Caenorhabditis elegans: one gene and its partners. The protein of the gene in region 3 interacts with the protein of the main gene of each other region in a pairwise test. Each region holds a gene or a part of one and is shown on either strand. Other genes may lie near its edges.

What was found.
Region 1: the proteins of moe-3 (region 3) and hlh-11 interact in a two-hybrid assay, tested with the Caenorhabditis elegans proteins (one large-scale study listed by BioGRID).
Region 2: the proteins of moe-3 (region 3) and ing-3 interact in a two-hybrid assay, tested with the Caenorhabditis elegans proteins (one large-scale study listed by BioGRID).
Region 4: the proteins of moe-3 (region 3) and klf-2 interact in a two-hybrid assay, tested with the Caenorhabditis elegans proteins (one large-scale study listed by BioGRID).

The regions. Positions count from the first base shown.
Region 1 is NC_003281.10:9,619,902-9,627,278, reverse strand, and holds hlh-11 (Helix-loop-helix protein 11), read right to left. Parts: upstream 5,133-7,377; 5' UTR 5,077-5,132; intron 5,012-5,076; exon of another isoform or gene 4,869-5,011; intron 4,800-4,868; 5' UTR 4,782-4,799; coding exon 4,732-4,781; intron 3,779-4,731; coding exon 3,503-3,778; intron 3,455-3,502; coding exon of another isoform or gene 3,450-3,454; coding exon 3,226-3,449; intron 3,009-3,225; coding exon 2,589-3,008; intron 2,340-2,588; coding exon 2,144-2,339; intron 1,955-2,143; exon of another isoform or gene 1,806-1,954; intron 1,496-1,805; coding exon 1,366-1,495; 3' UTR 751-1,365; downstream 1-750. Other genes in the region: tbg-1 (Tubulin gamma chain), read left to right, coding at 288-602. UniProt on the Caenorhabditis elegans protein: Transcriptional regulator. Component of a feedback loop involving atfs-1, atgl-1 and hlh-11.
Region 2 is NC_003280.10:13,873,874-13,882,455, reverse strand, and holds the start of ing-3 (Inhibitor of growth protein), read right to left. Parts: upstream 6,423-8,582; 5' UTR 6,395-6,422; coding exon 6,367-6,394; intron 6,301-6,366; coding exon 6,229-6,300; intron 6,176-6,228; coding exon 6,072-6,175; intron 4,687-6,071; coding exon 4,162-4,686; intron 3,030-4,161; coding exon 2,415-3,029; intron 321-2,414; coding exon 192-320; 3' UTR 1-191. Other genes in the region: ndub-8 (NADH dehydrogenase [ubiquinone] 1 beta subcomplex subunit 8, mitochondrial), read right to left, coding at 7,238-7,439.
Region 3 is NC_003280.10:13,159,535-13,167,873, reverse strand, and holds moe-3 (CCCH-type zinc finger protein moe-3), read left to right. Parts: upstream 1-2,140; 5' UTR 2,141-2,218; coding exon 2,219-2,235; intron 2,236-3,652; coding exon 3,653-3,874; intron 3,875-4,416; coding exon 4,417-4,524; intron 4,525-4,849; coding exon 4,850-4,993; intron 4,994-5,261; coding exon 5,262-5,409; intron 5,410-5,691; coding exon 5,692-5,881; intron 5,882-5,951; coding exon 5,952-6,101; intron 6,102-7,079; coding exon 7,080-7,204; 3' UTR 7,205-7,459; downstream 7,460-8,339. Other genes in the region: F32A11.1 (Mitochondrial import inner membrane translocase subunit Tim21), read right to left, coding at 7,779-7,958. UniProt on the Caenorhabditis elegans protein: Zinc-finger protein that may play a role in oocyte maturation and fertility.
Region 4 is NC_003283.11:20,683,321-20,689,533, forward strand, and holds klf-2 (Kruppel-like factor 2), read left to right. Parts: upstream 1-2,362; 5' UTR 2,363-2,378; intron 2,379-2,409; 5' UTR 2,410-2,496; intron 2,497-3,587; coding exon 3,588-3,776; intron 3,777-3,824; coding exon 3,825-4,245; intron 4,246-4,290; coding exon 4,291-4,350; intron 4,351-5,220; coding exon 5,221-5,450; 3' UTR 5,451-5,510; downstream 5,511-6,213. Other genes in the region: F53F8.3 (RING-type domain-containing protein), read right to left, coding at 5,516-5,661, 5,715-6,198. UniProt on the Caenorhabditis elegans protein: Probable transcription factor which regulates lipid metabolism.

The DNA of each region.
Region 1 (7,377 bases), on a different chromosome or scaffold from region 3:
GAAAAAAATCTTCAAATTACATTGCAAAAATGAGCGCTTATTTTGACGAATCAGCAATTGTGAAGCAAACTTTTTTAAAAAGTATTTTTGACATGAAGTAAAAAATTTTTAGAAACTTGGAAATTTGACAAAAGCGTGGCAATTCAAATAACACATTAGTCAGAAAATCAAAAATGCACCAATAAAATCACTATTTTAAAGACAAAATTAGTGATTAATAATGACTTTTTTTCGTTATTTTTCTATAATCCACCTTAAAGCATCAAATCAATAAAATCAAATTTCAGTTCGCAATCAGAAGGCCTCCATTCTACATGCTTAAACCACTTCGAATGATGCATGCTCCACTCTCTCCATATGTTCGGCCACAATACAAAGTATCTGGACTCTTGCTCAATAACAGCACAAGCGTGGCTCCGTTATTCGAATCGCTTCTCTCCAAATACGACAAACTACGATCAAAGAGAGCCTTCATCGACAAGTTTGAAAAGATTGACAATTTCTCGCTGGATATGATGGACGATGCAATGCACATTGTGCAAGACTTGCTGGACGAGTACAAGGCGGTCGTACAAAAGGACTATCTGACAAGAGGGCTTTAGATTTATTATTATTTATTCTCGCGGGATTCTCATTCACTTCTTAAAACGGATCTCTGTCGATTATCATATGCTGTGTTTATTGTATTATTTATATCATGTGCTCCTCATCATCATCATAATTTTCACATAAATATTGGTACTCTTGTCTCAGTGGTTGTACTATTGAGGTTTATTTAAATTATTTAGTTATGATTATTGCGCGATAGCAATAGAGAGACATATTGAGGTCTGAAAATGAAAGTGTTTCAAGCTGCACATACGGTCAACAAAACCACCGGGTGAAAAATGAAAAAAAGAGGAAATCGACACGATTTGTGTAAAAGTAACGGGGCAGTGTCTGGAGATGAACAAGACTGGAAAAAAAGGAAAATGAAAAAACAAAAAGTTATCGGTGGGGAGAACGAAACAATGGATAGGTCCGTGAGAGCGCGGGAAATAAGGAAGCTAGATTGATTAGAAGAAAAATGACAAGAAGACCACAATCGGCACAAAAAATTTTGGAAAAAAACATTTCATAGAAACACAACAAGTAGTATACCTAAAACAAGAAGAAAAATGGGAAAAGAACAAAAATTCATCAAATTTTGTGATAAAAATGATAGATACTGTGCCTGGTGAGAGAGAGAAAAAAGATGAAGAGCAAAAAACAGGATCAACCTGAAGAAAGAAAGAGAGAAAAAGAGAAAGAGAGAGAGATTATGAAACGTGGAAAATTTGATAATTGTATTTGTAATTGTAACTCTACATTTGTCAAAAGTCAGGCTCAACGGACGAGCGATGTCTGTGAGGTTGGTGGAGGAGATGTTGGAATGAAATGACTTCCCTCCAAATGACGAATAGCTTCAACAATTGTTTGCATTGATTGAGACAGGGTCAGGCTCGGTTGTGTGCTTCTGGAATTGATGGCAACATATTAATTTTTTTAAAAATTCGAAAAGTTTGCTCGAGAACTATTATGCAGACGTAGAAAATCTCCGCCCTCCATAGCTGGGTCTCGTTAGGTATTTGGCGGCAAATCCGTGAATTCAAACGTTTGTCATTAAATAATTGTACCAATTTTCAGGAGTTTTTCGTCGTTTTTCGTCTTTCGTTGTTTTTATTGGAAAAATGGTTGTTTTTATTGGAAAGTTTTTTTAAAATCAATTTGGCATACGTACCCAGAAAGACGCAAAATGTTCAAACATTGGCGAAACTAATAGAAAAAGTTTGAATTACTGGTTTGGCCCCCCAATACCTAACGAGACCCAGCTGTTGGGGGCGGTCCTCGATTTTACAAGGGGGATTTTTCTACGACCTCATAATAGCAATATTGCAACCTACAGTAACCACAACATTTTTTTTGACTGTATAGAGTATATTATAAAAAAGATTTAATTGAAATTTAATAATCAGCATAAAATAAATTTAAAAATTAAATTTATAACGAAGATTTGAATTCAGAAATTGAATTTTGAAAGTAGATCATTCCACATACAGCCTTCTTCTCTCAAAACAGAAAACTGAATTCATAATTTTTCCCCCATAAAATATACAGAACTCACACAAACGCAGAATTATGTCCCTGCAGATGATGTGGCAATGCGACGGGTGTCGAGTTACCGGTAGACATGGCCGAGGTGACCGCTGCCGCCGCTGTTTGGAACAAAATACTCGATTGAGTTGGAACTGCTGTTGAGAAGATTATTGGAGCGGCAGTCAAAGGTGATGGAGTTGACAGAGATGGTGATGATATTTCAACTTAAATGTTTATATATATTTATAGTCAAAAAGTTTTATTTGAATATTCCAGGGCTTCAAAAAATGCTACCATGCATTAGGCCTTAATACTCTAAATTTCCCAAAAGACCAAATTTTCCAAAAAAAAAATTTGGTAATTTACCAAAATATTGCCTGGAAATTTTGAAACATCTCAAACGTTTCATAGTGTTTTGTTTGGACATTCAATCTTTTTGAAACTAATTTTGAATATATCTTTCCAAAAATTACCTGATATTGGTGGTAGTGGTGTAGGACGGATAACAGTTGTCTCTAAACTTGGCAATGTTGGAGGCGGATGGAATATACGTTGAGACGCCAATGATTCAGAAGAAGTTGGACTACCGTTCAGTGTCAAAAGAGACAACGGAGTACTTGTTGTATCTTGAAATGATGGTTTCCTTTCCGGTGATTCTCGTAACGGAGTAGGAAGAGCCGATGAAGCATATGAAGATGGCAATGTGAAACCACCAGAACCATTAGATCTTGGTGTCACTGGTGACGATGCTTGCGATGATGTTGTCGTCATTTGGAGCAGCTCACGGAGCTGAATTACTTGACTCTCCAAAGCCTTACGGGCGGCTCGTTCAGTTTCTAATATTGTTTGGAGATGTGCTATTTGCGCTTGATGGTCAGCGTCGTGGTGATCTTCTGAAACAAAATTTAATTTGAACAGCTTATATTAATTTCAAGTTTGAACTGATTTAGGGTAGGCACGATTCAGTAAGATTTAGACTTCTTCAGGCCATTCTAGGCTGGAATTATTTTGTGGAATTTCAGAATTTCAGATTATCCAGATTTTTGTTGAAACACAGTTTCCATTCATCCTACTCCACTTTTCAAAAATATCAATAAGATATAAACTTACCTTCAAGTTTGAGTTTTTTGGGTTCTCCACCGTCAGGTATATCTTCTCCTTTGTGTCCCAAAAGTTGATGAACCATATCCGCAGTTTGCTGCAGAATAGCCGCCTTCGACAGCTTTTCTCCCTCTTTTCTGGGAAGTAAGGCTCTTAGAGCCAAGAATCCCGCATTGATGCTCTGCATCCGCCGCCGCTCGTTGCAATTGGCAATTTGCCGACGCATTCTGGATCTATACTATATAAAGTTACAGTACTCACCACCTTTCAGTGCTATAAAACTAACCTTCTGTCGGGGTCGAGCGACGTTGGTGAAAGTGGCGCCGGTTGGGATAGTGACCGGTTGGCGAGCATTGGTGCATGCCCAATCGTCGAGGTAGGCAAGACAGAACGCAACGAATTCTGCATTCCAGAAGCCGTCAAATCAAATGCCGAAGCAGCTGACATGATGGATGGTGGTGCCATTCGTGCATTTGTCACGGAATTCCAGTCGGCGATAGTCACGGGCAATGCACCTGTACCCGAACTCATCATCTCCTCGTCCTCTTCAGTTAGATCAAATCTGCAAAAATGTGTTCGTAGATGAGGTTGTTCAAGAAGCGAAATTTATCAAATAATTTGGGGCCAATTAACTTCAACTTTCCAATTAATGCCTTCTCAAGACGCAAGCTTTTTCGTGAATATCTTCATATTTTTCTATTCTACAACTACAGTACAGTACTCCTTTGAGGATAGAGAAAAAACATATTTTTTAAAAATTGGAAATTCACAAAGTCGTTTTAAATTATTATAAATGCATTTTAAAAAAAAATTCCAAAAGTGATAAAACACATTTTAGACCTTAAATTTGAACTTTGCCGACAATGGGTAACATTTGAACTAATATTAAAATAACTCTAGCTTTAGTTGTTCTGATTTTTATATTGATCTTTTCATCTACAATTAGAACCTATCAATTCAATAAATGCCACGATTCCACAAAAAAAAAGAAAGAAAATGGGATAAATTAGCTTCAATTTAACATCTCAATATTTCTGTTCCAAAAATTATGAGAAATTATTAGTACAAATTGCCACATGCAGTTTTAGAATTGAGGAAAAGTTCATCTGCGTCTCTATATTGTGTTTTTCTCTAAAAGCCAGGTGTTCTTGTTGCGTGTCACTGAGAACGAATTGAAAGCCATGGGAAATTATTTGAATTTTATTTATTGAAAAGTTACTGTAGACTTAACACTTCACTTGGAAACTTGATAGGTTTAGAGGGAGCAAAAAAAGTTTATTTTCGAATTATTTTCAGATTTTAATACTTTCATCAAATGAGAGTCTGATCCTGGATATATATATATATATAGTAGGCAGGCACGTCTTCAGACCGCCTGCCTAGTCGCCTAGAAGGCGGGAATTCAACCATATTATGATTATAAGCAAAACTCGGCTTAGACTTATGTCAATACATTACTTTTCGAATGTTTCTTCTTAAAACCATGAGCAAAAAATGTAGTACAAAAATCCTTACCCATCATCAATGATGATTTGATCTTCTTCTGCGCTATCCGAACGAACCATTTTCTACTATTGATCTACCTGAAAAAAATTTTCTTTTTTGATTTTTGAGGTTCTCGAATTGAAATTCTATTTGTTCCTTATTCTCTCTTTTTCCGACAAAAGTTTCCCGAAACCCGTAACTCTTATCACCTTTCCCCCACTATGTTGGCTGACTGGCTGACATGCCATTTTCTTTGTAGAATCAAAGAAGATAGGCTCTTTTCCCAGCTGAAAATCTTTGTGATAAGCAACACTTGGGGGCAAAGATAACAATGATTATACCACGAATTATTTGAAATAAGAAATAAATACTTACTGTTAGTACTACGGAGACTACGAAGGGACGATGGGAGCCGTCTGGATTACCTGAAACTTTACAAAATTGGAATTATTTGCGACAAAAAACCAACAGCTGATGCTTCACGAAAATTCTTGAAGGGGAAAGATCGAAAAAAAAAAGAGTTTGTCAGTGTGTCATATGGCATGTTTTACACAGACACATGAGGGGAAAGAGGAAGCAATCGAGGGTCGAAACACACCGACTTATAATTCAAAATCGGGCAGTTCGTCTATTTCATACGGTAGGTACCAATGTATATGTAAATTAAATGAAAAAGGCGTGAGGAAGAGGGCAGTTTCAGTGTAGCAGATGAAATAGGTTTTAAATGTATAGAAAATAGAAAAACTGAAGGGTTTATAATTGAAAAAATGAGAGGGAAAGAACAGGTGATCCATTTTCAGGTGTTTAATGCAACAACTTTTACTTAAAATGTTTCATGATACTAATTTGAATGATCAGAGTTTGGGAGTAATCGAAACATCAGAACATTGCCAAAATTGGAATTAGAAACCGAAAGTTTCTTGTAATGAAATTATTTTTAACTGACGATGAGCTTATCTCGTGAAGCCGACAGAGTCCATGTTTTAATAACAATCAGTTCTCTATAAATTTGCAGAATCACAAAACGTCTTTCAAAAGTTACAAACGGACTTGCTCAGATTCTCTCTTGATAAAATATGAAGAACCAAGAATAAATCGGTCTTAAAAAAAAAAAAAGAAAGAAAAAAAAAAGAATTTAAGGCTAGATTTCAAGATTTCACCCCAAGAAATGAAATATGAGCTCTTGATGTTTTGATCTTTCTACTTTCTTAAAAAACCGAGAAAAAATGTTGATTAGCGATTTATCGGAGAAACGAGAGAGCGATGAACACACAAACTGATTCTCAAACGGAATGGAGAAGACAAAACAGAAAAAAATATCAACAAAAAATTGGTTCCAACTTCCTTGAGCTTATAGACGATAGCCAATTGCACTTACCATATGTTTTTTACAATGAGGGCTCCCTGGAACCCATTGACAAGTCAACAAAAAGCAGTTGACCAGTTAGTTTAAGAATTCTTGGTAATTACGAAAAGTTAGTTACTTCTCACATAATAATCATAAAACTAAAAAAGAAACAAAAGTTTGATCAGCTGTAGTGTGCAAGTGTACGGGATGATCTAGTTGGTCAAGTTTGGCATTTATGGGAGAACAGCTGGGCACATAGAGCAACACGCAAAGTATCTAAAGTTAGAAAACATTTGGTAGTAGATTTATGAAATACTTAATAGAACATAGGTTAATAGAGTCTAATCGTGAAAATATTGGAGATTTCAGAGGAAGATTTCTCAATTTTTGGAGGCAATTTCCTGCCTAAATTTTTGTGTATAACATACATATAAAGTTCGTCCATAGTTTTGGCAAAACTTCGGAAAAACTTGGTCAAGATTTAGTTGAAACCGCGTTAAAGGTTGGGAACAATTTTTCATAGTCATACTCACTATAGTTCTTATAAGATCACAAAACATCACCAAAATCGGCAAAGAGATCAGTTCAAAGGCGTAGTAAAAGAGAAAGACACTGAACAAAACGACATCGAGAACTATTCGGACGGTAATGATCTGTTATCATTCAAAATAAAGGTTAAGGGATTTTGTTGCGATCTTCCCCATCAACCGATCCAAGAAACATTTTCTGAAGGGATCCTGAGAATTAGAGACAGATGGATGGATGGGGAAAACACCTGATGGCGCGGCCCCCAGTTTTGTTGGTTGGGGTCACAAACAGCTGTGAGTGGAGTGAGAGAGGGAGAGAGTGATTTAAGAAGATTTGGACGCAACGGAGAAACAGACGGAGAAAAGTTTGCAGTTCGCGTCTCGTTTCGTTTCGAGACCTTGTCTAGCGAAGGGGCAAACGTAAACGCTCGTTTCCGATGATACGGTAGGCGCGAGCCAGACAGTGAGTGAGATAAGAGATAAAATAATTTATCGGGGGGAAGACAAAGAAAGCTAAAAGATAAAAAGAAACATAACAACATATGGAATCATAACAAACTTGAGGCAGAAAATCAGAAATCTAGGAAGAACGATATGATGGTCGAGTACAGTAAGATCATAGAGGTAGACCCCCTCTAAAATTGTGGGGACTTACTGTTTTCTACTCCCGCAATTTTTGGAGGTCAAATGGAAAGAGGGTTCACCTGAATACTCGTAATAATGGGTACTATATTAATATTATTAACTTTTTCATAGATTTTTCCAAACAAGAGGAAACTTGTTGATCAAAAAAATGGAACT
Region 2 (8,582 bases), 710 kb from region 3:
AATTAATTGGAATTTTTACAATTGTTTTTTTGGGGTATTTAAAAATATTTTTAAAAAAAATGTGAGAGAGCATCAGAGTCTTTGGGGAAAATTTCAGATAAAAATGTTTTAAAAAAATTGGGAAAATTTCAGGCCAATCATTATTATTATTATTATTAAATTATCGTTGATGGGGAGTCATAATATTTATATTAGACTTCTCCCTCTTCGGACAGCTTGAGAGCAATTCCCATCGTAACTTCACACCGCGGACAGTACCATTTTCCAGTCGGAGGCTCGACCATTCCAATGCACGGGTAATGGAACCAGCGGAGGGTGCACTGCAAATGAAATGGGATTAATTAGAAATTTAAAAAATTCTAGCAACTTTACTAATTTCCAAATTTTTGTAGCTATTTTTTTAATCTAGGTTGAAACTTACTGATATTTTTGTGGTTTTTATTACTTTTTTTATTTTCCAACAAAAAAAAACAAACAAACAAATCTACCATTTTCCCATAATTTTTTCCAAAATTTCAACAAAAAATTCTAATCTAAATTTAAAAAACATATAGCTACAAAAGTGCTATAAAAAATTTACATTTCAACCAAAAATCTTATAAACTGAATTTTCATCGAGACCATCACCAAAAAACTAATTTTTGACCAAATTGAGTGCGAAAAATCGAATTTCCATCAAGAATATTATAAAACATTTTGTTTTCTTCGAAAAAATTAGAATTTTCCAGGCAAATTCTATTTTTTGTAGTTTTTGATGAAAATTCAACTTTTTTTAAATATATTTGTGTGGCGGAAATTTACTTTTTTGCATTACTTTTCGAAGAAAACAAAATGTTTTATAATATTTTTGATGGAAATTCGATTTTTCGCACTCAATTTGGTCAAAAATTAGTTTTTTGGTGGTGATGGTCTCGATGAAAATTCAGTTTATCAGATTTTTGGTAGAAATGTTTTTTAAATTTAGATATTAGAATTTTTTGTTGAAATTTTCAGACTTTCTGTATTTTGTTTTAAAGGTTTTTGGTGTAAATTTCAGATGGATGGATGTAATTTGTAATATTTGTGGAAAAAAACTGAGTTTTCACCGAAAACAGTGCGAAAAATGAAATTTCCACATTGTAATTATTTTAAACAATTTTTTAAAAATCATGTTTTCGTGTTTTATGTTTTTTTGTGTTTGTTTCCATTTAATTTTTCTAATTTTTGAAATACTTACAGTGGAAATTCAATTTAATTTTCGAAATCTAAATTTTTCGTATTATTTCAGTTGCTTTTGTAATTCAAGAGCATGTTTTTGTGGAAAATCAATTTTTAAAAATATTTTTCTGATGAAATTTTAATTTTTCGGGATTTTTTTAAAATGAAAATTCTATTTTTTTTGTAAAATTTTTTGATAATAATACCAACAAAAAATCGAATTTTCACCAAAAATATAGCAAAGTTTTGCAATTTTTAGGTGGAAATTAATTTTTTCGCTCAACTATTTCGAATTTTTGTAACACATTTTTTGGTAAAACCGTTGAAAACGCAGAAATTTTGTTGATTTTAGCCTAAAAATAATATAAATTGCAACTTTTTCCAATTTTTTGGTGAAAATTCAATTTTTCTGAATGTTCGTGAAATTTTTCGATAAAAATGTAAAAAAAAGCAAAATTTTGCATTTTCTGGTAGAAATTATTATATATTTTTCGCAATTTTTTGGTGAAAACTTCATTTTTGTGATTTTTTCCAAGGAAACACTCTATTTAACAATTTTTAAGCATTTTGTTGTGGTAGAAATTCAAATTAAAAAAAAAATAATTTTCGGTTAAAAATTAACTTTTTTCGTACTATTTTTGAAACAAAAATTTAATTTTCGGTGCATTATTTCTGATTTCACTTTTTAAACTCAATTTTTGGTGGAAATTTGAATTTTTTGTACAATTTTCCATGAAAAAATATGAATTTTCATCAAAAATTACGAATTATTGATTTTGTGCTGGAAATTTGAATTTTTCGCTCAATTTTCGATTTTTTGAATGGAAATTTTTTTTTTTTTTTTTAATAAGATCTTTGATAATCTTTGACTAACCAAAAAAGTGAATTTTCACCGCAAATATAGCAACATGATTTTGCAATTTTCAGGTAGAAATTATATATTTTTCGCACTGTTTTCTCGTGTGAAAATCCAAATTTTTTGATTTTTTGAATGGATGGAAACTCAATTTTTCGCACTATTCGAAGAAAAAAAAACAGTAATTTTCTGCATTATTTCTGATGAAAATTCACATTTTTTAATCAATTTTTGGTAATAAAAAACAACAAAAAAAAATCTAATTTTTTTTTCGCACTATTTCTGCTGGGAATTTGAATTTTTCGCTCAATTTTCGGAGAAAAATTCAATTTTTCCCTTCATTAAAAAAGCCCACACTAACATGACGATTATCACACTGAACCATATCTCCATAGCTCTTCTCATTACAAAAACACCAATGCATCTCATCCTCCTCATCCTCCGATCCCGGAGCCATCATCGGATGGCTCCGCTTAATCCGATAACTCGGTCCTTCCTCATCATCATCCTCGGCGGCTCCTTCAATCTCCGGAAGTGGTGATTGTGGTGAAGAGCTCGTCGGAGCGTGAGCGTGCTGAGCCGCCGCCGCCAGATTCGCCGCACTCATTCTCTCCTGTAGTGCTATAATTGAATTTCCATGATTCCGCTGCCGCTGTAGAGTCTCCTTAAACATCTCCTGAACTCTACTGGTCAGCTTCCGAGTTCTACCATGACGGCTCTCAGACACCACAAACGCCGAATTCTGGAGAACTGGAGTCGTCGGCGAAACGACGATATGCGGTCCTGAGGAGAACGTCGGTGTCATCAGTAGGCTTGTCGTCGGCGTCGGTGATGATTCGTCGATTCCGGCGTTTGACCAACTACGTTCGGAGGGATTCGGTGAGAAGCGGGATGTCGATTCACCACGATTCATCATTGATGAAAGAGCACTTGGAATGGAGACTGTGCCGCGGAGAGCATTTGTGTTTGAGCGGCGCTGAAATTTGGAGAAATTAGAGAATTTTTAGTTTTTTCACTCCAAAAACGACTGATTTTCGTGAAAATAATGGCGGTTAGGCTGAAAAATCAGCCTATTTAACGGTTCGGACGATTTGGAACGTATAGACCCAAATTTTGTGCTCAAATGAACGAATTTCATACTGAAATTGCTCAAAAATTCTTCAAAAATGTTTTATGGCGCTTCAAAATTTCGAAAACTTACACTGATTTGAGTTAAAATCTCGAATTTTGGTCATTTTTCCGTGTCTCGGCTGTCCGAAGTTGGCTTTTTTTGGAAATATCATTCTTGATTGCATATATTGGTTTTAATATCTCATTTAATTTCGTTTATTAAGGTCTGTTTAAAGCCTATAGGCGACCAATTTTAATGATTTTTGGTTACCTATTGGCTTTAAATTTACCATAATCAATGAAATTAAATGAGATAAACTACCAAAATATGCAATGAAGGATGATAATTCCAAAAAAAACCAACTTCCTACAGCTGTGACACGGAAAAATGACCAAAATTCGAGATTTTAGCTAAAATCAGTGTCATTTTCGAAATTTTGAACCGCCATAAATACATTTTCGAGCAGTTTCATTACGAAATTCGTTCATTTGAGCACAAAATTTGGGTCAATAAACCGTTAGTCCTCCTGTAAATAGGCTGATTTTCCAGAAAATCATGGCGGTTTGGCTTAAAAATTAGTCAGTAAAGAGCCAAATTTCGTTTAATTTTGAAAATTCGAAACAAAAAGTTAATTTTTAGCTGAAAACGGTCCAAAATGACCCAAAAACGGCCAATTTTCGTAAATTTTATTAAAAAATGTGGCGGTTAGGCTAAAAAAATAGTTGAAAAGAGACGAATTACGCTAAAACTCGAAATTTCGTCAAATTTTTCTTGTAACAACACCCAAAAAACGGGAAAATTTTATCAATTTTGTGAGGTTTTTGTACGATCAAATTTTGCGGATTTTAGGCTGAAATTCAAAAATGTTTGAAAAATATTATTTGAAAATTCAAAATTTAGCTAAAATTCGAAATTTCGCCAGTTCTTTGAACAGGAGGCCGTGGTAGGTGGGCTCCAAATTTTGCGAATTTTCTCGAATTTTCAGCTAGCTCCTCACCCTAGCCGTCGGTGTTGGTGGCACTGGCGTCAGACAATCATCACTGGCCACCACCATCGCCGCCGACGACAGCAACAGCTGATCCTTTGCGATCTTTGGCGGGCGCCCACGTGGCGCTGGTGATGGTATAGCCGATGATAGTGCCGATTGTGCCGACTCATCGGAAAGATCCATTCGAAGACGAACACCTTCCTGAAGGATCCGCTGAATTTTGTCCTTTGATTCTTTCGATAAAAGTGGTCCCGAAGCGACTGTCGATGCTCTCGACGACGATCCTCCACCACCACCACCACCGCCCACGCGATGACGACGTTTTCGTTCTTTTCTCGCTGTGAGCAGAGATTCGACGTGTTGGGTATATCGTTTTTCGATCATTTCGGTCACTCCTGAATTGTCGGCCTCCATTTCACACTGGAACGTGGTTTTCTCCTTTTCCAAGTGAACTTTGTACTTTTTGAGGAGTTCTTGCATTTTTTCGGCGATTAGATATTTGCGTTGAGCTAGCACGCGGATTGTGGAGAATTCCTGAAGAAAATTGGTTGCAATTTTTTGGGTTTTTTCAATTTTTTTTTTGTGAAAAAGCAAATTTTTGAACTTTTTTTTTCATTTTTTAAGAGAAATTTTGCCATTTTTCAGCTATTTTTGTGATAAAAACTTTTTTTTGAGCTTATTCAACGTTTTAACGAGAAATTTTGAAAAAATGGTTGAATTCTAAAATTTTTATTGAAAAAAAAAAGCAAATTTTTGAGCTTTTTTTTACTTTTTAAAGAGAAATTCTGAAAAATTGGTTGATTTTATGATTTTTCGGGGGTTTCGACTTTTTTTTTGTTGTGAAAACAGCTAATTTTTTTTTATAATTTCGGCATTTCCTTCACTTTCAACGCGAGAAAATCTGGAAAATTGGCATTTTGGGATTTTTAAGCTTTTTTTTTTTTTAAAAGCTAATTTTTCAGCTTTTTTTTTAAAGAGAAATTAGAAAAATTGGCTGATTTTTTGGGATTATAAGGTAGTTTTGGGGGAGAAAGCTTTTAAAATTAATAGAAAATGCAAATTTAGGGTTTTTTTCCAAGAATTTCGGCAAAATTGGTTGTATTTTGAGATTTTGAAAGTTTTTTTTAGAAAACCACGAAAAAAAAATTAGAAAATGCAAATGTAAATGTTTTTTCCCAAAAATTAGTTGAATTTTCAATTTTTTTTCGTGAAAAAAGCTAAATTTTCAGCTTTTTTTTCACTTTTTAACAAGAAATTCCGAAAAATTGTCTGAATTTTGCGATTTTTTGTCCTGTTTTTTAAAAAAGATTTTCAGTGAAAAAAGGAATTTTTTCGACCGTTTTTTTCCGAGAAATTCTGAAAAATTAGCGGAATTTTGGGATTTTTTCGCGGAAAAATGCTCATTTTTTGAAAATTTCGGTATTTCCTTTATTTTTAGCGGAAAATTTTGAAAAATTGGATGCATTTTGAGATTTATAAGCGTTTTGGGCTAATTTTTGCGTTTTTAAGCTATTTTTGTGAAGAAAAAGCTTCAAAAAACGATCAAAAACGACAAAATTCTAATTTTAGGTTTTTTTCCGAAAAGGTTACAACTTGGTCGGATCTTGAGCAACTTTTTGAGTTTTTCGACCTCATTTTAGTGTTTTTAGACGTCATTCACTTTGAGTATTTTTGAGCACTTTTGGTGTTTTGTGGGAAAAAAAAGCTTAAAAAGTGAAAAAATGACATCAGGCAAAGTACAAAAAAATCCCATTTTTTCTCATTTTTCTTCACGAAAAAGCTAGAAAAACGGGTTTTATAGCGAAATTTCTCATTTTTCACGAATTTTAGCCGTTTTTGTGGCAAAAATCAACTTTTTCCTGCGTTTTCGTGTCAATTTGCTGCCAAATTCGAGTTCCAGGAATTTTCATGAAATTCACCTCCTGCAAAACCTTGCAGCGCTCCTTTCTCTGCTCCTCGGGCATATTTACGCCGGTTCTCTCGAAAAAATCGTTGATCGCCTCTCGATTACGGTTTAGACGGGCTAAAAATTCGAAAAAATGAAGGGAAAAATTCAGAAAAATTTCGAAATTTTACATTCAACTTCATTGTCGATTCGCCGAATTTCATCGCTTCTCTCCTTCAGCTCGGCAGGCAGCTCATCGAGCACTGGAAAACGTTGAAAATTTGGGTGTTTTTATAGGGGAAAAGTTTGCAACAAAAAAAACCACTTACTTTCTAAAAAATCATCGAGGAAGAGCATTTTGTGCGGGGGCGTCCAGCGCCGAGTTCTGAATTTTTTTTCCAAATAATTAATTAATTAAAAGTGGAGTAGCGTAGCGCCAGTGGGAAAATTGCTTTAAAACACGCCAAATTCAAAAAAAAATTTCTAAATTTTATATGATTTTTTGAAAATTGAAAAAATCTCAGTTTTTACCCCTAATTCCTATTTGAATTTCCGCCAATTGAACTCGTTCGTTGGAGCGCCGCGCTTGCACGTTTCTAAATTTATTTATTTTTTGTTATTTTCCACCGATTTTTAATGTTTTCGGTGTATTTTTGCTTGAATTTTAGAGAAAAAGTCGAAATAAATGCAAATTTTCGAATAAAAACCATGCGTACAGACCGAAATCAGTGAAATTAATTAATTTTGTCATTTTTACGCCTGTAAGCGTGCTTTTTAATCGAAATTTAGCATTTATTTTGACTTTTTCTCTAAAATTCATGTAAAAATACACCGAAAACTAAAAAAAATTGAAAATCGGTGGAAAATAACAAAAAATAAAATAAATAAACTTAAAAACGTGCAAGCGCGCTCCATCGAACAAATCCAATTAGCGGTAATTCAAATAGGAATTAGGGGTGAAAACTGAGACTTTTTCAATTTTCAAAAAATCATATAAAATTTAGGAATTTTTTTTTCAATTAGGCGCAATTTTAAGCAACAAAAAAAACGAATTAATAGGTATAAAAGCGTTAAAAACGCTGAAAAAAGGGCAAAAAAAAGGCAAAAAAAAAAATGATAAAATTCGAATATTTTATAGTACAAAAAAGGAGAAAACGGAGAAAACTACCAAAAAAAAAACAACCGAAACTAAGGAATTTTCTATTCCAAATCAAACGAATAGTTGACAATTGGGTATTTGCGTGGATCGTCGAACGGGTAGGCACGGTAGAAATCGTATGAATACTGCTTCGGCATTGCCGGATTCTTCCAACGGAGCGCGTTCGGATGTTCGTTGGTAAAGTACCAGGCGAGGAGAGCCATCGGTACGAGCACGCGGAGGCACATAACGATCGAGTTCCAGCTGAAAATTGGATAAATTAATTAGAAAAAAAAAACAAAAAAAAACAGCCTAAAAATCCGAAAATTAAAAAAAAATCGCAAAATTTAGAAAATCCACATTTTTTTCACCGAAAATACTAAAAATCGCTGCAAAAATTCAAGAAAATCCGAGAGATACGAAATCGATAAAATCGGTAGATTTTTTCGCTAAAAATCGGTGAAAACCCGTAATAAGAGGCAAGAAAATCAGTAAATAATTTGAAAAATGTCAAAAAAATTTCCAGGAAATCGAACGAAAATTCTCAATTTAGTGAAAAAATCTCAGAAAATCAACTGAAAAATCCTTTAAAAAATTTAAAAAACCTGTGGAAAATCCGACGAGAAATTCAAAAAAAATCAATGAAATTTCAGGAAAATCAAAAAAAATTCGTCATTTTTTTAGCCAAAATACGAGAAATTCCTCTTTTTTTCAAAAAATTATGAAAAAAACTGCCTAAAAATACGAAAATCCACTTTTTTAAGGGAAAAAATTCGGAGTTTTATCAGAAAATCGGGGAAAATTATGAAAAACTTAAGTTTTAGGGCGAAATTACCCGAAAAATCTGCGAATTTTCGGATTTTTATCAGAAAATTGGACTAAAATTCGCATTTTTCAGCGAAAAATTCGCTTTTTTATTAGAAAATCGGAGAAAATAATGAAAAAAAAACTGGCTGAAAATCAGAAATTCCGAATTTTTACCTAAAAATAGTGAAAAATTATGGAAAAAACTGCCCAAAAACCCATAAAATACACATTTTTCAGCGAAATTACCCAAAATCTGTGCAAAAAATCAATTCAAAATTCACGGACTACGAGACCCATTTTTTTTTCAAAAACAGGAACAAGATATGTCAAATATCCAGAGCCAGTGAGCATTTTTCGTGAAAATTGGAAAAAAAAACCCTGAAAATTTCAATAATTCCGGTTTTTAGTCAGAAAATCGTGAAAAATTTTGAAAAACTGCCTAAAAATCAGAAAATTCAACAAAATTTCGCATTTTTTAAGCGAACAATTATGAAAAAACTGCCTAAAAATCCAAAAACTCAATAAAATTACCCATTTTTTAAGCGAAAAATACCGATTTTCATTGAAAAAAAATTGTGAAAAATTATGAAAAAATGCCTG
Region 3 (8,339 bases):
ACGGGCCTCCTTTTTTGCCCTTTTTGCTTTAATTTTTCACTTTTTATAATGCGTGTGTGTGTGTATATCTTTTCGCTTGCCCCTCTAATACTCACTTTTGCGCATCACCATCTTTTCACTCATTACAGTGGATTTCTGAAAGAAATGGAAACGCATGTTACACTCACACCTTTCGCTAGCGTCTTCATCTCTGAATCCTTTCGTTTTCGGTCACTCAGCAAACATGTTACCTCTCTCTCTTTCTTTCTCTGTCTTTTTCTGTTCCATTTGTTACGCAATCGGAATAGAAAAGCAGTTCCAAACTGCCCGTTCTTACCCGCCCTTCCAAGTTTTCTCTCAATCATTTCCCCTTCGATTGCCTAATCTTCCAGTTTGGCTTCTTCATTTTCCCTTAACAATTTAGAATCACATTTTTCTGAGCTTCATCTAATATTTAAATTTGTGCCAAGCGTTCCTACATTGCAAATCAATTGTGTCTTTTTAGGCTCTAGCTTCAAATTTGAGCTCAGGAACAGCTGATCCATAGTTTTTAGTTTGGATCAAAACCTTCAAAACTTGTGTCTTATAAGGCGTAGGTTTGAGGTAGGCAAAAATATAGTTTTCACTTGATTTGGAGAAACTGAAAATTCTCAAAAATGTTCGTCGAATTTTATTCCGACAATTTTCAACTTACCGACAATTTTGGTGCATGTTTTCAATCTGGATTCAGTTGTTTTAAATATTTAAAATACAAGTTAATGTCTGACAAAGCAAATATAGTTATATGTATTTTTTTTTCAATTTTAATGACAAATATTGGGAGAAAATGCCACGCTAGCTCATTTTTTAGAATTTTTGGACACAAAAACATCAAAAAATTTTTGTAGAGACAATGCATATTTTACACGACCACAGCCACAGTACCCGCAAGTATTCTGATATGTATTTTGAACAATTATTCGATATTTTATGTGTTTGCAAAATTTTCCAAAAAATTGAAGCTTCTGAGTTTTAAATAGTGTCAAAAACAGGCAAGACAATTTCGAATCACTTGTAGGTGCGGTAACTGCAAATTTCAAGTTGTTTCGTAATCCGTACCAGGGGTGGGCAGCAAACGATCCGGCAAATCGGCAAACCGGCAAATTGCCGAAATTGGAAATTTCCGGCAAACCGGCAAATTGACGATTTGCAGAATTTGCCAAAAATTTTTTGCCCTTTTTTTTTTGGAAATTTCAGAACTTCAATTTCAGACAGCCGAATTAAGCACATCCTATGAATATTCCTACATTTATTTCAATAAGTAAGCAAATTCTGTTAAAATAACTAGAAAAAACGGGAAAAATTCAAAATGGCACAGTTTTAAGTGTTTACGTCCTGTAAATAATCCCTCTAGACATTTCCGGCAAATCTGATATCCGGCAAACGGCAAATCGGCAATTTGCCGAAAATGAAAATTTCCGGTAAATCGGCAAACCGGCAATTTGCCGATTTGTCGAATTTGTCGACAAATCAATTTGCCGAACCGCAATTGCCGCCCAGCCCTGATTCTATCGCATTTATTTTTGTGTCAAAAAGCAGAAAACTCCGCAACTGGGTAATTTTATATTTTATAGGGCTCCTAAACATCTTAAAGTTCTTTCAACTGGGGTTTTTGTAGGGAGCATCGCAGAATTTTGAAAATACTGGATTTTAAAATCATGTTTCTCCCTGTTCTATTACTTTTAACTGATATACCCCCTGATCCAATGATCTCCAATCAACTGATCGCAATCACATGCCCCCTCCGAACTAGCGGACACATGAATAAAAATCAGCTGTTAAGTCCATGTCGAACCCCTCGTATCTTGTGTAATAGACTGCTCACAATTCTTTTTTGTTCTTATCACCATCACATGAATTGTCATTTCTCGAGACCGGTTCTTCGCTTCTCTGCGTCTCTCGATCTCTCGCCTTATTTTCAGACCGTGTTTTTTACTTTCAAATTTCAGTTCATTTCAACTTCCCCTCTAAGTACATAACCTCTTCAAATATCAAATATTTTGTGTGTCATAGTTATGTTTAATCTTCTCTCATTTTCACTGTTCTCTCATTCTCGTTTATCCGCAACTGACCCTGAAATTTTTGTGCCCGCCGTGTTTTTCACGAATTTCACAGTTTTCAGGGGTATTGGCTGACCGCGACACATTCATCCCGTTTTTCAGATTTTTTACATATTTAATCAAGTCAGGGAAGGCGCACGATGAGCAAGGTGAAAGGGTGAGATTTTTGACGATACTTTTAGAATTTTCGAGGCTAAAATACAAATTTCCGGCAAATCGGCAAACCGGCGAATTGCTGAATTTGCCGAATTTGCCGGAAAAACGGCTTTGAAAGCTTTTTGGAAATTTTAGAATTTAAATTTTAATCGGCAAAATACTACGACTATTTTAAAAAGTAAGCAAATTCTATGAAAATATCTAAAGAAAATCGCGGAAATAATAAACATTTCTGCCGGAAATGAAAAATTCCGGCAAATCGGCAATTGTCGAAAATTTCCGGCAAATTGTGGTTTTGCACGGTTTTTTTGTTGGAAATTTCGGAATTTCAATTTTAATAGACAAAATTGCACGCATCAAAAAATCAAGGTTTTAAGTGTTTTCGTCTTATAAAAAAATCCCTTTAAACATTTTCGGCAAATCTGATATCCGGCAAGCGACAAACCGGCAAATTACCGGAATTGAAAATCTCCGTCAAAAAAAATGTGCCGACAAAAAAATTGCCGAACGGCAATTGGCCGCCTCTGTACATATATATCGACTAATTATTAAAGAAATATGAAAACATAAGAAATAGATGAAGAATTTGTCTAGTTAATAGGTAGGGAAGTAGGCACGTAGGTTTTTTGTGCCTACATGCCTATATGCATAGTGCATAGGGACAGAAAATCTGAAGTTCTAAAAAAATGCTTAAAAACTTGATTAAAAAGTGTATGATTTTGTGCCTACACAGAAAATTTGACTTTGTTTTTTTTTGTTTAATTCCAAACGCGTAAAGCTTTCAAAAATATTTGTTCTGAATATTATCCTTGCTGAAAACACTTTAAAATATATATTAAAGCTTCCTTAAAAGTTTAGTTGAAACCTCCATTTATTAAAAAAAAGTTTTAAAAAAGTTCATAACTTATTCAGTTGGTGTTCCATTGTGACATGGCTATATATTCTTGTCAAGAATATGTATATCTAATTAATAATTTTATTACCACAAAAAATTCCCTTCAAAAGTGTAAGCTGGAGCAATTTGAAAATGTGCAATTTTTAGAAATTTTTAATTTTAAAAGTCAAAGCAAAATTTTAAATAAAATTTTCATAATTGATATTAAATCAGTTTTTGTGCAATTTGTTAAAAGGTTTAATTGAAATTATTGATGCACTATATTTTACGTGTCACATTTTTTACAGCTAAAGCTGTAATTTTGAAAAAGCTTGATAAGTCTAACTAGTGAGATTAAGTGCACTATTTGTGAACAGAAGAGATAAATAAATATCCTGTTCGTTATCACTCGAACGGTTTTATCAGCCGAGATATAGTGGACAGAACAGTGACAACGCCAAAAACTGGCAATAATGATACTTCCTCCCCTCCCCATCCCAACTTTTTTGGATTATTTCATACCCACAACTTATTTATTTTCCAGAGATCTCGAAAAGTCTGACAAGCGTCCACCATCGTCCATGTCAACTGGTTCAGCTGACAGTGGTGTATTCTCATCGGGAGTTCATGCTTCATCACCTAGTCATAGTCAAGGATCATCATCGCAGAGTGGGCCACCGAGTCCTACTACTCAGTTGAACTCGTTGCTTTTTGAAACTGCTAACCTGATTGCGGTGAATGAGCAATTGAGAAAGGAAATTGCAGAGTTAGTTTTATTTTGTTGCTTGGCTCCAGTTTCTTGCGCAAGTTTTGCCCGAAAAAATTAACTTGGAATTTCGGCAATTGCCGGTTTTGGAAATTTTCGGCATTTGGCAATTCTGTGCAATTGCCGGTTTTAGAAATTATCGGCAATATTGGCAATTTCTGCATTTGCCAGTTTTAGAAATTCTCGGCAATCGGAAACTGCAGGTTTTGGATATTTTCGGCAATTGGCAATTTTGACAATAGCCGGTTCAAAAATTACATTACTTTGAGCTTGAAAAAAAAAAAGTTCATTAAAGTGCATGTTTAAGGTCCGGCAGTTCTGATTTCCGAAAACCGGCAATTCTGACGATTGCCGGTTTCGGGAGTTTTCTGCAATCGGCAAATTTGGCAGTTGCCGAAATTGCCGAAAGCAGAATTGGGCCAAATTTCGGTTAAACTTTGGGCCTAAATGTCTTGCCCAACTGTTGCCCAAGTTAACTTTTTTGTGCCAAATTTGGGCAAGAAGCTATGTTTGAAACCTAAACACCAAACACTGTTTTTCAGAAACAAGCAAATCCAGACGAACCAGATGCGAGCACTCAGATACTCCTCAAATCCAGTCGATCAGCCATTTGTAGCGAATTCGATATCACCACATCACGGGTTTCCACAGTGAGTTTTAATTATTCAAATTGTTAAACCAAAAGAAATTCAAAATCTTTTTGATTTGGAAAAAATGTGAAAAAACCAAATCAAAAACCATTGAAAAAATTCAAAGATAACGTACCAAGTTTCAACGCATGTATCTAAACTATTTTTTGTGATATCAAAAAGTTTTTAACTGCACTAATGTAGCTGATAATGTGATAAATATTTTTGTAGTTGAAAATGCTTTCATAGCGCTTAAAATAACTAAGATGTAAGGTGTCAAAGTAGTGGAAAATTTCCACAAAAAAAAACCATTTTTAGAGTTTCTCCTAATAATTACATTTTCCAGACGCCCCCCTCGCGGCGAACGGCGGATGCAAAAGCCCGAATCTTACAAGACGGTCATTTGTCAGGCATGGCTCGAGTCGAAAACATGCACTTTTGCTGAAAATTGCCGATTTGCACATGGAGAGGAAGAGCTGCGCCCGGCGAAGTGAGTTTTCAAAATTTTTGCGCATAACTTTTGGCGCAGGGGTGGACAATTTGCCGATTTGCCGGAAATTTCAATTCCGGCAATTTGCCGATTTTCGGAAAAATTCAATTCCGGAATTTTATCGATTTGCCGGAATTTCTATTCCGGCAATTTGCCGATTTGCCGGAAATTTCAATTCCGGCAGTTTACCGATTTGCCGGAAATTTCAACTCCTGCAATTTGCCGCTTTGCCTGAAATTTGACGCGCAAAAACCCTGAATATTTTCAGACTGGAATCACGACAAAACAACAAGTACAAGACGAAACTTTGTGACAAGTACACTACCACTGGACTATGCCCCTATGGCAAACGGTGTCTTTTTATTCATCCCGATAATCAGCCAAATGCATATATCAGAGCTGATAAGCTTTATGAGGTTAGTGATGGAGAGGTGGCCTAGAAAATTCAAGTCGGCTATCTTTTGAAACTAAAATGTATTATCTAGACTAGAAATTTTGGATTTTTTGCCCAAAATTGCGGTACCCGGTCTCGACACGACAATTTTTACTAGATTTTGAAACTACACTATTCTTTAAAGGCGCACACCTTATTGTATATTTGCTTCACCAACAAAAATATTTCGCGTCGAGACCAAGTACCGTACCTATGCCGCAAAAATCGCAAATTCCTGTAATTATTCAAAAACTCCAATTTTCAGGTCTCGCAGCGCCACGCACTCGCAGATTTACGGGATCACGTGGAATCACAGATTATGACAGGAAATACGAGAAACTCGTATAATCAACAGCCGCCACCGATGGGCGGTCTAGAAATGCAATCTTCACCGATGAAATCGAGTTCTGACTCCAGTCATATGCGTTCTCCAATGGCTCAGATGAATTGTGAAAGTGAGTTTTTTAAAATAATTTTTTAGAAAAAAAACAAGTTTCAATAAATTCCTTGAAATTTTTTTTTCAGCCACGCGTCCTCACCCTAGCTGGCCGTTGGAATCTTCGTCCTTTTTCTTGCCACCCGAAATGTCTTCAATCAATAATAATAATTTGATGAGCCCATTTGAGACGCCATTTCCCAACGGCTCCACGGGAATTCAACCACATTTTGTGACAGGTTAGATTTATGGGATATTACGGGAACACAAAATTCTGAGAATGCGTATTGCGCAACATATTTGACGCGCAAAGTATCTCGTAGCGAAAACTACAGTAATTCTCTAAATGACTACTGCAGCGCTTGTGTCGATTTACAGGGCACAGTCTCCTCCAGTGGAAATTTTGGTTTGTTGGCGCACTTCTCGTGCATCGCGTGCAAAATTGAGAAATTTCCGAAAACGTTCAATTTACTGTTTTTCTTCATATTTTTCATAACATAAGCTTTGGTGGAAGATTACTTTTCAAATGAACATCAAATTCCACTAGAAAAATGATGAAAAATATACGAAATATGAGAAAAACTCAATTTTTAGCGGTTTTTTCTTTTTATATCAGCGCTTTTATTTTTGAACCAAAATCAAAAATCTTTTTTTTTCCACCTTGCCCTTAATTAGCTTTACAATTGATACGTAATTAAAAAGTTTGAAATCGATTTTAAACCCGTGAAAACTGAAGGAAATCACTTTTCAACGGTAAAATTTTCCCACGCTCACGAGAAACGCGCAAGCCCCCTTGTTGGGTCATTTCCAGGAGGCTGTGCAGGGCTCTAGATTTTTGAAAAGAAATTCATTTCGAAAATCGAGCGCTACAGTAGTCATTTAAAGGATTACTGTAGTTTTCGCTGCGAGATATTTTGCGCGTCAAATATGTTGTGCAATACGCATTCTCCGAATTCTGTGTTCCCGTAATAAATTATTCCCCCATTTTTGTGTGAAATTTGTAATTTTTCTTGAAAAAACTTGTGAGCTTGAATTTCTCAAACTTGCGCGTCAAATACGAGGTACTAGGTGCAGTGAACCACAGAATCCGAATACTGTGCAAACACCGACACAAAGCGTCATATTTCACTCGCAAATTTGAAAGATCAATAATGGTTTTTTTTTTCGTGGAAAAAACACAAATTTCAATTTAAAATTAAAAAATTCCGAATTTTCAGCAAAACGGAGAGCAGCCTTTCCTCCAGTGCCTTCCAATTTCCAACAAGACGATGATAATATGTCATCAATTCCAGGATTCGACCATCTTGCAGAGGATATGGCTAAACATCTTGAATTGTGGTGACATTTTTCAGTTTTTTTTTAATTTGAAATTTGTTTGTCTTCCTTGTCTGTGAGTATTGTTCAACGATTAGTTACTAATAATATTTGAGTAGCAAGTGGTCCTAAATCCTTTTTTTTAAAGATTTTTAAATTTATAATAAAAATGGGACCACCTGATACACATCTCACTAATATTTTTTTCGCTTCTTTTTTTGAAAATTTTTTATCTCCTAATATTAATTATTTTTATTGCTCCCCCTAAATAAAGTTTTAATTTTATTTCACACAAGGGATAATACACGTTGCAAAAAGCGCAAAATCCTAAGCTTCTTTCTCTAAAAATTTTGGATGAGGTTGGTTCTTTTCTTTTTTTTTGGGAGGGAGAAACGGAATAAAACCGGAATATGGAGCAAAAAAGAGACGGGAAAAACGAAATTGATGCATACTGACTACGAAAATCAAAAAGAAAAGGCATCTAGAAAGTCGTGTGAACAATTCTGAAACAGGCAAATGTACAATTGAACGGGGACTTTTTGCAAAAAAAAAATTTGAAGGAATAAGTGAGTATTTTCGATCGAGATGCTCCGCACAGCTGCTCACTTTCCGATCCGTTGGCGGACCTTGTTGTACTTGTCCGTGAGCCGGTCCACTCCTGACGCGAATCGTCGATAGCCATTTTGCATGTGAGCAGCAATCGCCAAGACTACGTAATAGGTCTGTTGAGTCAACTTCACTCCGTAGAGAATCACGTCTTTTGTCACGTTGTAGAGCAGAACCTGAATAAAAACTGTTTTGTTTTTGAATTCAAAAATTTATCCAGAAATTTGTGCGAATTTAAGGTTTTGAAGAAATAGTATTATTTAGGGCTATAAATTCTGCTATTTCTGCGCAAAATATTACGGTATCCGGTCTCGACACGAAATATTTTCTTGAAGCGCGGAGGAAAGGTGTGCCGCTTCAAAGTGTACTGTAGTTTCAATATTTCAATGTTGCAGAATTTTTATCGACTTTTTATAGTTTTTTCCACGATTTGTCAACTCCTAATGTTTTTTCTTGTTATATTTGAGTTTTTTAATTAAAAATAATTTTTGAAAAACAATGAAAAAACCGCATCAACAAGAATTTTGAAAAAAAAAACAATTTTTGAGTTTTTGTTG
Region 4 (6,213 bases), on a different chromosome or scaffold from region 3:
TGTTAGAGTTTGCCGAACTAGGCCATTTTGGCTCGGCCGCATCTTGGGTAGATTTACGGAGCGTTGAGTGCCGCGTCGCGGATTGGTTTTTGTTGTAAAACTGAATTTTTTTTTGTCCCTTTAGAGTACTCGACTTTTACACGCGTCATCTCCGGCAGGCGATTGTCAATGGAGCGCGAAAAATGCAACCAAGAAGGTCAGAATTACGATTGTGTTGGGAGTTATTTTGTATATTGTATCGTTTTCAAGATAAGCTGACTAATGAGGTCCTATTATATGTAATAGATTATCATATCTAGAAACAAGATAATTCTGGAAAAGATTTTTGATTATTCTTAGATAGTCTTGTTTTTTATGTACTTATCTGCGAAAACTAGAAATATTTTTAACGACTATTATACTAAAGTTATTATATATATTTTTTAAGGGATTCTTAGAATTCACCTATTTTCATAATACAAATTATAGAGGATATAAAAAATACCTATATAATAGATTGTAGTTATTGTATTTTCTCACTTCCGTTGTCTCAAAAAATGGAACCTCTTCTAATTATCCTTTTCGTTATTTATTGTACAGTTTTTGTAATTGGGACTACTGGAAATTTGATTATGGTCCTGGTGACATATTATTGCAAGTAAGTACATCAACAATTTAAATTTAAAAAAAACAAATTTCAGAAATCTCCGGTCAATTTGCAACGTCCTTATTGGTTTGTGTTGCTTTTACGATCTATTACTTGCTGTTCAATTTTAAAAACCAGATTCCAAAAATCGAATGAAAATTGTTTACGACTCATCTTGCACTTTTAAACACGCAAAAATGTAGAGTGTCAGACAAAAAGATACATTGCCACTAAATTTGTATGTCTATGTAAATATATATGTGTATATATAAATATATTTCAGAACATATGTACATACTTGTTTACTCACATCTGAATTCTCTTCGAGATCTTCTAATATTTTTATTAGTTTTTTTTGTCAAAACTCAAAATCCTGACGGTTACAATTTTTACAAAGAATTAGGTTGCTGGAGTTGCCTCAGTTAAAACCATACTGCGAGTTTTACCAGTCGAACACACCTTTCCATTATCTCAATATATCAAACATTAATCAATCATAAAACTGATATGGTCCCGCCGCAGTTGAAAAAAAGGAGACCGCCCGTCCAAACAATATTCTCAAGTACGTTTACATACCTAGTCGGCACTTTTAACAGTAATCACTGCTTCCTCCTCTTCCGCACCCACTTACTGGATTGTTCGCACCCGTAAAATCATAACTTCCCGACTGTAGCAAGGCGAGGCGGTAGGGAAGAGGGTACTAAAATTGGAGGTGGGAGGGGGGGGACGTTTGGATAAACACAGCATTGGGGTATCATTTTAGAGTACTGTAAGTGATACTGTTTGTGGATATGTATAGTTTTTTTTTTCAATCTAGCGTCTACATTTCCCTTCTGTTTTTAGTCCCGCACGTCATTTTCAGATTTAAAACCAAATCTTGGTTGTGACTTGACTGTCCGCAAATCCGGCAAATAGGCAAAATGCCGGTTTGCCTATTTGTCGGAATTTTCATTTTCGGCAAGTTGCCGGTTTGCCAATTTGATGGATATCAGATTTGCCAAAAATGTTTAGAGGGATTTTTTTTATAAGACGGAAACACTTAAAACTGTGCCTTTTTGAATTTTTTTCCGTTTTTTTTTTTGAAATTTTCATAGAATTTTCATAGAAATAGAATTTCTGATTTGCCGGCAATTTGCCCATTTGCCGGAAAAATCGTTTGCCACCCACCCGTGATGTACTGTACTATTGATCAAAACCGGCATAACTTTGGAGCACTACAAAGCCTTGTGTTCTTTCTATAAAATTTCTGAACTTTGAAAACAAAATTATTTATCACATGTCCTTTTCCCAAAAAACTCCCTTCCTTCTTCTATTAATGACACCCATCTCCCCTCCACACATTTTCCGCGCACACACCTTTCTGCCACCCCTTTCTCAGAGAAACAACAAACCTCCCCGTTTTTTGGTTACTGTTTGCCCATGCCTATCAGTTTTGACATGCTATCATAAAATGGCACTTGCAGGGCATATGTGCGCCTTCTTGGATAATTTTCTTCTAGCTTGACCATCGTCTTCTTGACATGTTTATTTTTTTTCGAAATGCCCAAAAGTGTCGTAATCTTTAGATCAAACATATCATGACCACCATCTACACATGCTCAAGTTTTCTGTATTTTCTATTCTTGGGGGGAAAGAAAAGTTTGCTCAAGTTTTCTGTTTGTTATCATAGGAGTGACCGGTCTGGTGTCACCACACCCCTTTTTTGGAGCCTGGGGAGCTCACTTTTTTGTAGACCAGAAGAGGTGTGTATATTCGCTTAGGATGTTTATTTTTGTGGAAACATTAGTCATTTTTCTTTAGTTTCACGATAGATGCTCTACTAATGAAGGCACGTATTGTAATCTAGCATTAACATTGTTTTGTTCTTTGTGGTGAGTACATAGGTATTTTGTTTTTAGTGAGTTAGTTCCTACGTGTTCAGTGCATTGAGAGTTAGAGCCTTATAGTTAGTAGTTAGTTCCCAGAATTTCGAACTTGAAAGTTCTTAAAAATGGAGCAGCGCCATTGGGGAAAATGCTAAAAACAACTCCTATGGTGTCAAAAATGACCGAATATCAAAATAAAACTTTCAAAAAAATTTTGAAATTTTTCTATTTACTGTCAAAAACTGACAAGTGCTCATTCTTTGCCACTCATAATTTTAGAAGTCGGAAAAAAATTTCTTGCATTTTTTATATTTTCATTTTGTTTTAATTATTTGTTTTAAAAAATTATAGGGGTCGGAACATGCGACACTGCATTGAATTTCCTCAAAGGCTCATATTTTTCAATATTTTGGCAATGTGCCAAAACTTTGACCTGGAATTATGAGAAACCTAAAATTTTTAGGAGTGTTGCATCATGATATTTTGTCGCTTTGGTTTAATATAAGTGAGACAAAATTCTCACAGGCGCTACTCCACCTTTAACTTTCTTATCTCTTGAATATTTCGGTTTGAGTGTGAATTCTCTAAATATCAAAAAGATCCAAAAATTTTGCTACTAATTCCCCCTATTTGTATATACACTTGTGATATGACGTAAAAACATATTCACAAGAACTACAACTTTCGCTTTGAAAATTCACAACAAATATCGAAAAGTAAGCAGTAGGCAAAGAAGAACGCAAGACTTTTATGACTTGAAATGTATTGAACGAGAATGAAGACGTCACATTTGTGCGTGTGTGTATGCACAACGGTATTACATGGTGTTGTTGTAGTGTTGGAATATTTGTACTATCTACTAGTAGAAGTTGCCTTACTTTGGCTTATGGTTAAGATTTTCACTACAAATTTAGAACTATGCATACAATTAGGTTCAGGCATTACATCTTTTTTTAACCACAAAATGAATTAGTATTTGCCTATGCTAATTTTTATTTGACCTTCTGTTACAATGTAATTTTTGAAAATTCGTTTCAGAGTCTCACTCTTTTTTGGTGATTTTCAATTTATCGTTATTCATCTACAACTCCTTCCAGATGTACTCTAGCATAGTCCCGTCTAGTTCAAATGGTTACTATCATCAGTCTCAATACCAAAATGCCCATCACCAACATCATCAGCAGCATTATCACCAACAATCTCATCATCATTATAATGGAGCAGCTGCGGCTCCAGTCATCAATGTTCACAACTATCATTTTCATACGGGACCTGTTAATAATCAGGTTTTGTATTTAATTGAAGTTTTTAAATTCAATTTTCTATTTTTTGAGGTCATCGAGCAGCACTACAATCATCATAACCATGTCCAACAAACTTTCGAAGAAAATATTCCACAAGGCCCGCACAGTTCTTTCAATTTTTCCCATGACTTTCCACAACAGAATAATTCCGAAACTCACCTCAATCACATGGAACCTTCGATGACTCCAATGGAACATCAAAACTCGGGAAGCTCGACACCATATCCGTTTGAAGCCAAGTTATTCGTTCCATCGCCTGCAGCGTCTGTATCCAGTTACTCATTTTCAAGCGATTTGTCGGGTAAAGACGAGGAAGATCCCAGGATTCCTTTAAAAGATCGTGGAAGAGTATATCATCCGCAGAGCACTGAAAAACCAAAAAAGGTGCCGAGTAAACGGAGGGATAAGGCTACTTTGGATCGATTAAGAGTTCATAAGTGTTTTTATCAAGGTAAGTTGCAAGCGTGTTTAGCTTAAGCTTGAATTTCATTTTCAGGTTGCGGCAAGGTCTACACAAAAAGTTCCCATCTAACAGCTCATGAGCGTGTTCATAGTGGTGAGTAGCTTACAGAACCTCATTATACATAATTAATCATATCCTCCTCTTCAATGTCGTGAACAGCGCGCACTCGTCGGCACATTGTTCTGTGTAACGGGATACTTCCGTTGACAAACACGCTTCTCATCAATCACTAGATACTTTTTGTAACGAATGCACAGGAATCAACTACTGTTGCTATGTTATGTTAGTCCATATCAATATTTGGCCTTGTCCGGTACTTCGCGGCATCCCCCTTTTAGAAGTATCGAATAAGGAGTTGTAAAGTATCAATAAACTGTCAATTAAGTGCGTGGGCCTATGGATATAAGAATTAGGAGGGTTGCGGGAAAATTGGAAAATAATAACTTACCCAATTCCTAATGCTTCGGAAAGTGTGGAAAATGCGAAAGTTGCTTGCAGGAAGAACGCCTGAAATATCTATTATATTTTGGTTTATCTGGTGATTGACGAAACTCAGAGTCGCGATTTGATCTGACACTGAGATCGTCAGCTAAGCTTTTTAAAATGTTTTTTTGCTGCGAAAATCTAAAAATTTATAAATTTGCAACTGCTTCTTGGGAAATTAGCTTGCTTTTTATTTCTAAAACGGTAAGATGTAAAGTTTTCAACTTTTATGTTAGTTGAGCACTTTTTTTTAATTTTGAGGTTTGAGAAACGGATAGCCAAAGTCAGTTTTATACAGATCCGGTCGTAAATTTTCAACAACTTTTGATATCCGCAGCAGAAATTAAGATTTTTCAAGCTGAAAATCTCAGCTTTCAAATGATGTTAGTTTCACACCAAATGGCCACTTGGAGTTTTGAACATTCCCTAGTCAGCAGCTTGCCAAAGTATTACCTATTCGATAATAATCTTCTCATTTAGGTGAAAAGCCGTATCCATGTGAATGGCCTGGATGCTCTTGGCGATTTGCACGATCCGACGAGCTAACCCGCCATTACCGTAAGCACACTGGAGCCAAACCGTTTGCATGCAAAGAATGCTCCAGGAAATTTTCGAGAAGTGATCATTTGCAGTTACATATGAAGCGGCATGAAACGGATGAACAAGACGATGGAATGGATGATTTCAAGGATTTCATGACTTTTATTTGAAGATTTCGTTTCATTATGAGTGAGATGATACGTTTAATTATGAATAAACAGTAGATTGAATCCTTTCACATATTAAGAACAATGTAGTTCTTTGGCAAATTATTGAGTGGCGTAGTTCCAATTTTTGTGACAATCCGGCAGAAAGGGCATTTGATGTACCCTTGCCCGACAATTTTTTGAACACATCCCATGCACATCGTGTGACCACAGCCTGAAAATTTTCAGTTTTCTACTGAATTTAGAAAAAAATAATTTAAAACTAACCCAAAACTCGCGGAGTCTGATCCATAGTTTCTCCCTCAAACTTGCAAGCACAAATTTCGCAGGTTCTCCATGGGAACGGTTCTCCTCGTTGCTCTTCCTGACTCTTCACATGAAATTCTGTCAATTGGTTCACTCTCCTTCGATACCCGTCTGTGACTCCCTGCTCTTTTTTCACTTGTTCTTCGACGCGAGACATATCGTCTCTGAATCGCAATTTGAAGGAAAAGTCGTTAAGTTGCTCCTTCAAACTCATGTTTTCTCGCAGTAATCGTGCCATGTGTGATTCTTGAATAGTGAATTCTGTATTGACTTTCAGGGTAACCCTTGACAGTTCTTCATGATCTTTCTTCAACTTTTCCACTTCACTCTTCAACTTTTCATTCTCCGCGGTTAATCTCAATTTGACCTTGTTGGCTTCTTCCTCTGCTCTCAACTGTGCACCATTCTTTCTTTGGTCCGCGTGCCTCGAGCTACGTCGCAACATGGAAATTCTGAAAAA